Caenorhabditis elegans: one gene and its partner. The protein of the gene in region 2 interacts with the protein of the main gene of each other region in a pairwise test. Each region holds a gene or a part of one and is shown on either strand. Other genes may lie near its edges.

Region 1 (7,550 bases), on a different chromosome or scaffold from region 2:
AAGCGTAAAAGGAGAAGACTGTAATAAGTAAACGGATGAAAAAAAAAGACTAGCATACTGAAAATGTGTTGAGGAAAATGAATATTACAGTACATATTTACAACATTAATTGATCAAATCCCGAAAGTCAAGGAAAAAAAAGTAGAAAGAAAATAAGAGAAAACGATAAAAGTAATACCCATTTTTCGGCGATAAAACACCCAAAGTGAAACGGTGAGAAATAAGGTCACAACTCTTTTGGAAAATTTGAAAAATCTATAGATTATCGTCCAATATTGACTGGAGCTTTGAGAATATCAAATTTGTTGGCCGATTCGAGAAGATATTGAACAATTTGGGATTGCATAATCATTGAGAAGGCGAGATGAGAATTCGATTGGACAGGAGTTGCTTGAGTTTCTTCCTGGAAATTATAAGTATTTTAAACAAGGAATATCAGTTGGTTTTTGAGTTTTGACTCAATTTTCAATAACTTAAATTACAAATAATTTGGTGAATATAGAAAATGAACGGTAATGACCAATTATAACTGTAAAAAATTTCAAAATTTGTTTAATGATATGTTATATCAATTTTTTAAAGATTTTTCACTCCATTCTCAATAAATGAAGTTTTACAAACCTTTTTCGAAGGTTTCGCCTTCTTTCCAGCTTTCTTATTTTTGGTTGCCAAATTCACGGCTCCATCACCATTATGGAATAGTGTTGGACCAAAAACAATAGCAAGATTATGTTGTTGCATTCGATTTTGTGATGAATGCGAGGCTACACGATTCAAATGACGAAGTAACATTTTCAATGTTTCACGATTCTCGTTTGGAAGTCGACTTAGAAGTTCTTCGAATTTTTTGAAACGAGTGGTCGCGTTGGGCATTTCTGGAATAGAAAATTGGTTTAGGACATTTTAAAACTTCAAAAAAAAAACTTACGCATAGCTGATGTGTATTCCTTATGAAGAGAAATTGGGAAAAGTGGATCGGTTAGCTCTCGGAAAAAGAGTTTAAGAGCACCAGTAAGAACATGAATATCTTCTTCAGACACAAGAGCTTTATAATTGTCTTGATCAGCTTGACATCGAATTTTTTGGACTGCGGACAGGTTTCCACTCACTCTGAAATAAGAAATTTCAAGTTTCAATGCTATTTTTATTTGGTAGTCATCCTTTAAAAAACTGAAAATACAGTTAGAGAATACTCTCGTAACAGTTCAAATTTTTTAAAGATATTCCAAAACTATAATTTTTAAAGTGTGCCTTTAAAAAATACAGTAATTTTGATGTTGATTTTTCATAATTTTTTTGAATACAAATAAATAAATTTTAATCGAAAAACCGCAGCAACTGTGAGTTGGAAATTACAGTACTTTTTAAAGGCACACAATCATTTAAATTTTAAAAAATCGTGTCGAGACCGGGAAAAGTTTTTTCAACGCAAACAGTTCGCATCTGGGTAATGTTTTTCGGAAAAAATTATTAGGTCTACCCCTTTTGATAGTAAATAAATTTTTAGATGTGTTTTGTTATGGCATTTGGTCATTTTTTCACAAAATGGCGACACTTCATGTAATTTTTTTCCAATTTCATAAACTAACCGATAAATTCCATCTGTCTCCAATCCTTTACTCTCAATAACTTCAGTGATAACTCTAATAAACTTCGGTACCAACGAGTTTTCATGTTGACAGATTGCAGAAAGAGTTGATCCGAATACTGGTTCAGCTGAAATGATTCTTATTTCAATATCAATTTACTATATATAAAGCGCGTGTCGTTCCGTCACTATGTAGTTTGATTTTTGACAGAGCAACGGAAATTTGGGAAACCTTATGATAATTGTATTTTCTCAAAAAAAAAAGTCGGGGGCCGCGCCGTAGGTGCGGTCCACGGCTGGTTTGCATATATTTCCAATCTTACGTTTATATATTCCCTTCTCTTTAAGACTTTCCACTGTAGGGCGTGTTCGGAAGAATCTTCTCAACTTCTCAATGATCGTCTCTTTTGATGGTCTTGGTTCATCAGTTGATACACTTGTCGATACCGTTTCAATTGCAGATTGTGACATTGGATCATCACGTCGTCGCATACTTCGGCTTCTTAAAAAACAAAACATTTTCAATAAGACATGGTTCTCTCAGAATTTTGAATTCAATTTTTTTTTTTTTGAAAAAAAAACTCACATTGGAATTAATGCATGGGAAAGTGGACGCGTGCTGCCAATGTATGACGGATTACGAGCAACGCCATTTGTTACATCAATCATCGGTTGGTTTGAAGAGCCAGGAGACGGCTGAAACGATATACATAGTCTTGAAATCTATAATCGGATGCAAAAAACAGTATACGGTCTCGACGCGATCGAATAGGTTTAAATGAAAAAAGTTGTGCGCCTTTAAGAAGTACAATAGTCCATTTTTCTCGTTTTTCTCAAAAAACCTTTTATTGTGTGAAATTGTATGCACAATTAAAAAAAAAAAGATAAGTCGAAGAAAATTGAAAAACAGCAAGATTTATTTAATTTTCCTAGATAGATTTTTTATAATTTCAATATTTTTTGATTAGTGTCACAAAAAAAAAAGGAAAAAAAGGTTTTAGACGAAAAGGCAGGAAAATGGTAAAATAGCGGGACTACTGTAATTATCAAAGGCGCACACACTGTTTCATTTCAGCATTTTCGGTCGTGTTGAGACCGGGTTAGATATTTTTCAAGCGAAAATCCAGCTTAATAGGATTTTCAGAATTTTCTCCCATGAATCACCTCACTATTTGACCGTTGCAGGCTCAACATTCGGACTCTGGAGCAAGCAGTATGCCACATGGTACTTTTTTGAGAATACACAACAAGTAAAAACTTTGCAATAATAGACGGAGAAAAACTTCGGCCGTGAATTCTTATTTCTACAGTCTTGAGAAAGTTGGAAACAACTTGGCAAAGTAGCTTATAGCCGAATAATCTCTTAATTGTACCTGCCAAGGGCGGGAGAAAAAGAAAAATGAAACAAAAACACTTGATTTTTTTTGTCTATTTTCTGGATAATTTTCAAATAAAGAAATCTTACAAGCTTTGCGACAACTTCTTCCAGTGACTTGTACCATTCGACGGCTTCCGTGTCATTGGGACCTCGTAACAGGTATTTCTTCGTGTTACACAGCTCTAATTGAATATATTTCCGTTGTTTCTTCTTTTGTACATCCCGATTGTCTTGATACCATGTCACACTTGCTCCTCGTAAATCCCATACTCCTTGTGGAGCATCATAATGTTTTCCGTGTTTCTGAAAGTTGACAACTATTTGGTATTGGTTGATCTACTGACAAGGAAAGGAAATAAATATATACAAAATATGGCACTTCAATTTGAAACATTATGTTTAGGCTGAGCTGATATATATGTATATAAATATTTAAGCTGCAAAAACTCCACTCGAACCATCTGAACTTTATCAACAAACTTTTCAACTACTTTTATGATCAGTCGAGTTGTTCCAAAAGTGGATTTTTGCAAACTTCGGATCATTTTTAAGCTGTTTAGAGATAAGCAAACATTTCGGAAGCTTTTTGAAATTTTTAGTTTCTGAAGAAGAGTGCAATTTTTTGACCGAGGTGGATGAAACATTTTCAGATCATTTTCAGAAAAACTTCCAAAAAGCAGACAATAATACATCATCTCTGCACATTTTGTTAAAATTTCTTAAATCTTTTTTTCTGCGTTAATTATCAACAACATAAAAAAAACTACCTCTGCACTTTTTTGGTCTTTATACAAAATGAGATGAGCCGTTGTTAAATACATGTAGTTCGTGATCCATTCACGTTTTTTTGGCTTTACAACTTTCTCTGCTGGTTCATCATTTTCACTTCTTTCCAAATCACCGCATCGAATCGTTCGAACAGGTTCACGTCCATCACCACTACCTCGACGTTCTTCACATCGTGATGATGGTGTAAAATCGGCAGAATCTTCCATAAGGATCGGCCGATCCGGCGTATTAGAGTGATATTGCGGATGGTGATCGAAACTTGATGAGGTTGTCGGCAGCACTTGTGGCATTGGAACATTTTTTAGAACTGTACATTTGTTCTGAAATGAGACCGATCTTAGGTTCGTCGGAGATGGACGACGGACACGGATTGCGGTGGGAGTTTTTGATGTTTCATTGGCATCTGGGGGAATCACATACGAAGCCAATTTGTCAGTGTCTTCATTTTTGGCCCTAAAAATGTAACTTTAGTGATAGGATATAACATTATTGAATTTAGGGGTAGCGTCGATGGGAATTTCACTCAAAAATACTCAGGTTGATCTCAAATGCCGATAACTTTTTTTGCATCTGTAGTTCTCAATACTGCCGCAAGTTCTTCATTTTCCTTGAATTTTCAAGTGAAAAGGAAGGTTTTATGCCTATAATGGCAGTTACGTTTCGCCTAAAATATTATTTTTGTCTGAACCAGTCGAGAAAATCGAAGTGAAAAACGGAAAAATTAGCGGAGTTTCGAGGCGCGGTAATTCAAATGAGGCACAACTGAAAATTCACTAAAGTTAGCCATGTTTCAAACTTAATGATTTTTTTTTCGTTTTGCTCCACTATTACAAATTTTGTAAAACCAACCTTGGAAACGTTGATTGAAACGAAGAAACATGTGCATAGGGATGTGGCATCATTACTCCGGATGCTGTAGAAGCTTTTCTTGATGATGTTGGAACAGGTTCTTCGTCAAAATCGGAATCTGAAGCTATGGATCCTTCTATAGGTTTCACATCATCTTCATCTTCATCATCCGTAAAACTGTCAGAGAATGGAATTGGAAGAGGCCGTGATTGAAGATCAATTACAGGTGATGATTGTTCATCCACGTCATCGCAAACTTCATCAAACACTTCTTCATCTTCTATCAATTGACTTTTTCTGTCGTCATCAGCTAAAGATTCACGCATTTTGTTCTCTTTTTGTTCTTCTGATGAAGATGTCGAGGATCCTTGAAAACTGCATGTAGTATCTAGATTCGTTCTTGTTGCACGAAGAAATTCCTGAAAATTGAAAACTGAATGAAATTATAACATCTTACCAGATTTTAATTTTTTAAAAGTAAAAAATAATACCTGAACTTGTGCGGGTGTTCTGATAAACCTCGGTGGAATCCATTGACTTTTTCCAGTTTCTTTATTGAAGAAAAATGTCCGTCCGACGTCGGTCTCGTATTCAAACCAACCATTTAGAAGATCTCTACGGGGCTGCGCGTCGGCTCGCGGAGTCGGTGGAACCGGTCGGCTGAAGCTTTTAAAAATGTTTTATGATGATTTTAGAATCAAAAATGAAAATTAAATAATCATCAGTGATTAAAAAAATGCTCCAGGTGTTGTTCCAACATTTTTTCATAAATATTAGTGAGAAAATATGGAAAAATAATAGATATAATTGAAAATAAGAATTCAATTTGACGAAAGAATTTGAAAAAGTGCTTAAACATAGTCTGAAATTGTCATTTACCAATTATCGAACTTAATTTTTCAGAGATTGGCAAGTTTCAAACCATTTTTGACCTCTTTTTCAAATGCTTCACCCACGATTTGCACACTAATTCCAATTTTTCAAAACATTATAACTAAACCTGAATCATTTCAGATATTTCCCGTACCTGTTTAATTCTTCGATTTCTCTGATATTTGTATACACATGTGATGGATCGTCAGCGTAATTCTGTCCATTACTTTCACGTGGCAATGTGTTCGCGGCGCTAACATTCGTTTGACTAGATGACGAAGAGGATTCGGCCGATTCGGACATCTGTAATGAATAAAATTATTTTTCTCGCGTTCGATGAGAGAGAAAAACTAACAATTTCTTGGAACTGAATAAGATCCGAAGCTCTTGATCCAGCGGGTCCTCCGCCGAATCCAGTTGTATCTGACGGCTGAACAGCGGTGGTCATCATCCGACGAACAAAATCGATAATAAATCACTTTTAACACCACCGGAGAGGCATTGAAGAGAATGATAACGAACTGCAAAAAGGACGAATTGCTAAAATATTCGGAGAGGGAGAGCATGGTAAGGAGAGGAAAAGAAGAGAAAGATCATGTGACCATTGACTTTGTTTTTACAGTGTTTATAGAACAAAACCGAAATATTTAATAAAGCAGATTGATCCGGAAATGGGAAAACAAAAATTATAATTAGGTTGTTAAGATAATTAAATAATGTTCGAAAAGAGAAGAAGACAACAATTAAGTATTCTAAATATCTAAGAAACTTGATACATTTCTTTCCACTTGAATCGATTCTCTCGAATTTCCGTGACTTTCTGAACATTTCGTAACTTTATACCCATAAGAATATCTTACGAAATATTTTTAAAATGAAACATATTTTAATCAACCAACGGAATTGATAAGCAAAATTTCCGATTTTTTGTTTCATTTCAGCTGTCCAATTTCAAAATTAGCTGAAATTATTTATAAATCAGTTTTAATTTAAAATTTTGTACAATTCCAACAGAAAAGCACCAAAAAAACCATCACAAGGAGGCACACACGGGATGACTCATCCGGCCGTCGTATTTCCCTTGTCCCGACTGGAGAAAAGAGAACACAGAATGGAAGAGTAAGATACGCAGACAGTGATACAGAAAAAACTCGCCGTGTGTTCTCTCACTCATTCGGGAGGTTAGAGACAGTGTCTTGGGGCTAAATATTGGAGATACAGACACACGAACAGACGACAATCGATTTAAAGAAATACAGTCATTGTACAAACCTGATAGTGCCGTGACTAGAGGTATTTACTGGTTTAGCTAGTGAAAAGGCTCTTTTTAGACTTCAAAAATTTGTTTTAATAAATAGTTTCATTATTTCAACATATTTTACTAAATAATGTGCCAAATTGAAAAACTATTCACTAGACAGCATAGAAATATAATATTCTCTTAAAAATCAATATTGGAGAACATTTTTGGATAAGAATTCTTTTACCCTTAAGGGTCAATCTTATATAGCGCGTCGTTATCCAGAGCACTTTTTGTCTCTATGTTTTACACCGTTCGTTGATGTTATCTCATCTTCAAAACGAATTTCCTGCAGTTTCTTAGTCTCTATAGTGCCACGTTTTGCGTGCGCGTAGAATAATAAATTCATGTTTTATGGGTCTGTCTGTGTGCACAAGCCGACCGCCCCAGTTTTCCCCCATATTCGAACATCGTTTGATGCCAATCTTGACATGGCAGAGAAATAGGAAACTGAATGCATTGGGGAAGAGAAAAAGAGAAACTGCATTTCGCTTTCAATTATTTGAGTGGCCCGTCGGAAGAGCTCTCACAGCTACTCTACAATTTTGCATCTAAAGGGGTCACGCTATTTAAGCTAACAAATATTTTTTCATGTTTCAGAACACATTTTTCTTAATTATGCGAAACAAGAATAGAATGCACCGGAAAAAAAATTTATAGTAAAATTCGTGAATGACTCGCATCCAAAATATAAAAAAAACAATGTTACTATTAAAACTAATTAAAAAATAATTTTACAAAAACACATAAACAGGATATTTTAAAGCACGTAA
Region 2 (3,655 bases):
GCTCAATTTTTGCAACGACTTGTGGAGTAGCAACCTACAATTTTTATTTAAATCAAAAACAACTGTTTATCATAATAAAATCTCACCTTCGGTTTTGTTCCAGCACCGCCCGCGGCATTACTGTTGCCTGATGGTTTTCCGCCATCAGACTGCGAAGTTCGTCTTGTCATTTTGCCCATGGTGTTGTGAGCTCCTAAAAACAATTATTCCATTAAGATTTTTTTATATAATAACTTATAAAATTCAAACTTACCCCAAAAATGCAAAAGCTGCTCTTGAGATAGTGGTTGTTGAGCAGCCATAAAAATTTGTGTCGTGGTAAACCGTGAGTGAACCGTATCTAACCTTTAGCTTAGCTTATCCTCTTCAAAGACCCCGCCTACTTTTCTACAGTACCCCACATTGTGTTGAATATATGGCGGCATCATTAAAAGGGGCGGAGGAGTTGTGTAATGAAGTGTTGTACGGACAATATAATGCAGATTAACTGGTTAAGAAGGATGAGTGAGGTCAGAGTTATGATAGGTGCATCTGAGTCCATGTTGTCGAGCTGTATTCGATAATATCCAAAAATGTGAACTGTGAATGTGATACCGTATTTTCACTATCTCATTTGCATCTAATCGTTTAGGACTGGACCAGTTTTATAAAACATTATCAACTGGAAAAATTTGTACTTTTTCCTTATGGTTTTGTTTTTTTTCTGATCTCTGGAAAAATAACCGGGATATAAGTTGTCTAAATCTTTCCGCTGTTGATTTGATTTATTAGAATCATGCACGTAAGTTGATATGGCTCATGAAAGACGATCAAGTGAGCTCTATTTCTATAACCAAATTTAGTTTTAAACATATAATGTGAAAATCTTTATAAATTTGATAAATCCAAAGGAATGTGAGTTGTCTAAAAAGAGCAAAGGATGCCAGACACACAGAAACAATTTATCAGAAAAAAAAACAAGTAAAATAAAAAACTCAATTCTTTGTACTTTCCACATGTAAATTATTGCGCAATTCCTCTTAACCTTTGTCTAATGTACACATGAATGAGCTGTCCCGTGTCCCCTCAAAAGTGTGAAGTACCAGAGTGTGATCTGACAGGACACCGACAACACATCAACACAGAAAACACATAGAAGATATCAGATTTCAATCTGATCTATCTTCGGCGCGACAAGCAGCGACGATGGCTAACGGAATGAGCCAGCAGCACTTGACATTCATGTTCGTGTGCTAATCATCATTGTGCACATCCGGACCCACTTCAAAATTGGGTGTCGGTACAGGAAAATGAGAGCCGAAAAGGGATGCAGAAGTGGTCTTGTTGGATTTACATAACAATTATTGGACAATAAGGCAGGATAAAGGGCAGCTGCAAGACTGTTTGGGAGAATTAAGGAATGCTTTTTAATTTCAAAGTCTAGATTTGATGCCAACTATTTAAAAATGGAGTAGTGCGAATGGGGATTTTGATCTAAAAAGTAGCCAAAATTGAAAAAAAAAATCACGTTTATTTTAGTCGGATTTTTAGTGTTCTTAATTTTTTTCGTTTTTCTTTTGTGGTATTTGGTGGTACCTGAATTTCAGAAAGTTCTGGGTATCGTAAAAATCCCCCACATTCTAAAACGTGAAGCAAACAAAATATTCTGTTAAGTTGTCAGAAGATTTTTAAAAATAAATCAAAAAATCAAAACTTTTGCATATAGTCTAGTGTGACCCCTCCTCCCATCGAGTTGTTATCTTTGATAAGATCTTCCAACTCTTCAAAACAAGGACTTCGATTGAAAATAATTTATTCCCACTTTAACTAACCATCGCGGCATCTCGCATCTTCTACTCACTGCTAACAACACTAACCTACGCTCGAAATGGTCAACATTCCCAACTTTATCGATAAGGTTTTATCAGGTAAATTAATTTAGCAGATTTAAAGTTTCATACTGTAACGTTATAATTTTCAGTCAACGACACTTCTAACGCCTCTCTAACACATTGCATCAAAGAGGCAGATATTGATGGCGTCATCGAGGAATGTAAGGATATCCTCTCAGCGCAAGCGACAATGGTTGAGGTTCAGGCGCCGATTGCGGTACGTTGACTTTTGACTTTTTAGTAAAATAGAGAGTTATTCTTGAAGTTCCTGCCAGAATACGTGTACTTTCAGGTCTGTGGAGACATTCATGGGCAGTATACTGATCTTCTTCGAATCTTCAACAGATGCTCATTCCCGCCGGATCAAAACTACCTGTTCCTGGGCGACTACGTGGATCGAGGACGTCAACAACTTGAAGTCATTTGTCTCCTCATGGCATACAAAGTCAGGTATCCAAATGGGTTCTTTATACTCCGAGGAAACCACGAGTGTGCTTCAATCAACCGTACGTATGGATTTTACGATGAGTGTAAACGAAGATATTCTTTGGCTCTATACAATGAGTTCCAAGTAAGTTTTAGTGCGTTGCGGTATTCTGTCAAACCTCAGTATTTCAGAATTTGTTCAACAGTCTCCCATTGTGCGCAATGATCTCCGGACGAATCTTCTGCATGCATGGTGGATTGAGCCCGGAATTGGTTTCATGGACACAGCTTGCCAAAATCATACGCCCATTCGATCCACCAAACGCGTGCCTTGCAATGGATCTCCTTTGGGCAGATCCAGAGAACAACCATACCGGATGGGGAAAGAACTCACGCGGAGTTTCCTATATTTTTGGAGCCAACGTTGTAAAGGACTTCACGGAGAAGATGAATATCGATCTCATTGCTAGAGGCCATCAGGTATGATATCACTTAATAACTTTTGATAAACAATTTTCAATTTCAGGTTGTTCAAGATGGATACGAATTTTTCGCCGACAAACGCCTCGTGACAATCTTCTCTGCACCCAAATACTGTGGAGAATTCGACAACAATGCAGGAATTATGATTGTCGACGAACGGCTCATCATTTCCTTCGAGATCCTGAAGCCAGCCATGAGAGAAGTAAAAATTCAAGCTCGTGCAGCCGCCAAAAACAAGTCAACCAGAAGTATACTCGTGAGCAGCAGAGGACCGAAGTCTAAAAAAGGATAACTAACCATTTATGCAGCTATTGATTGATTCTAACGAAATAAATGTTTTAAACTTCACAGTGTACCAATGATGTTTACATATATGTATATTCATGTGTGGATAACAACATTTACTTTTAAATTTTAAAAGCTTAAAAGCTTTAGTCGAAATAAAATCAAAGGAAAGTGTGGAGAATTACAAACTGCCTTTGCCGATGCTTTTATTTCCTTCTGTTAAAACCTTTTCTGAGCGGGTCAGCAGTTAAATAGTTGGCCCATAACTTACGAACCGCTCACGCAGATGGACATTTAAATATTTTGTTGCAGTTTTGAAACGAGGGATTCATTTTGGAGCTCCCAGGTCTGAAACCCTCCCAATGTCAATGAGCTTCATCAGTTTTTATAAGGGCGTAGCAAGGATTCAGTTGTTATATTCAATTTTTGGTATTTGTTGTGCAAAACACAAAATCTCCTACGTTTTCCTATAGAGGATGCAATAGAAGTATGAACTTTGATCATGCTATAAGGTATTGGTAATTTGTATAAGTTTTCGAGTTGTCCATAATATAAATGTTTTAATTTTTGAACAGTAATGTGAACTTTCC

What was found.
Region 1: the proteins of ZK938.1 (region 2) and tag-325 interact in a two-hybrid assay, tested with the Caenorhabditis elegans proteins (one large-scale study listed by BioGRID).

Annotation. Positions count from the first base shown.
Region 1 is NC_003281.10:4,795,289-4,802,838, reverse strand, and holds the start of tag-325 (WW domain-containing protein tag-325), read right to left. Parts: upstream 6,001-7,550; 5' UTR 5,929-6,000; coding exon 5,833-5,928; intron 5,781-5,832; coding exon 5,632-5,780; intron 5,271-5,631; coding exon 5,096-5,270; intron 5,024-5,095; coding exon 4,605-5,023; intron 4,209-4,604; coding exon 3,734-4,208; intron 3,270-3,733; coding exon 3,054-3,269; intron 2,285-3,053; coding exon 2,175-2,284; intron 2,091-2,174; coding exon 1,912-2,090; intron 1,717-1,911; coding exon 1,590-1,716; intron 1,111-1,589; coding exon 929-1,110; intron 876-928; coding exon 622-875; intron 404-621; coding exon 263-403; 3' UTR 1-262.
Region 2 is NC_003280.10:9,827,625-9,831,279, forward strand, and holds ZK938.1 (Serine/threonine-protein phosphatase), read left to right. Parts: upstream 1-1,783; 5' UTR 1,784-1,867; coding exon 1,868-1,907; intron 1,908-1,960; coding exon 1,961-2,088; intron 2,089-2,163; coding exon 2,164-2,442; intron 2,443-2,489; coding exon 2,490-2,777; intron 2,778-2,823; coding exon 2,824-3,072; 3' UTR 3,073-3,130; downstream 3,131-3,655. Other genes in the region: eyg-1 (Homeobox domain-containing protein), read right to left, coding at 1-34, 87-193, 254-302.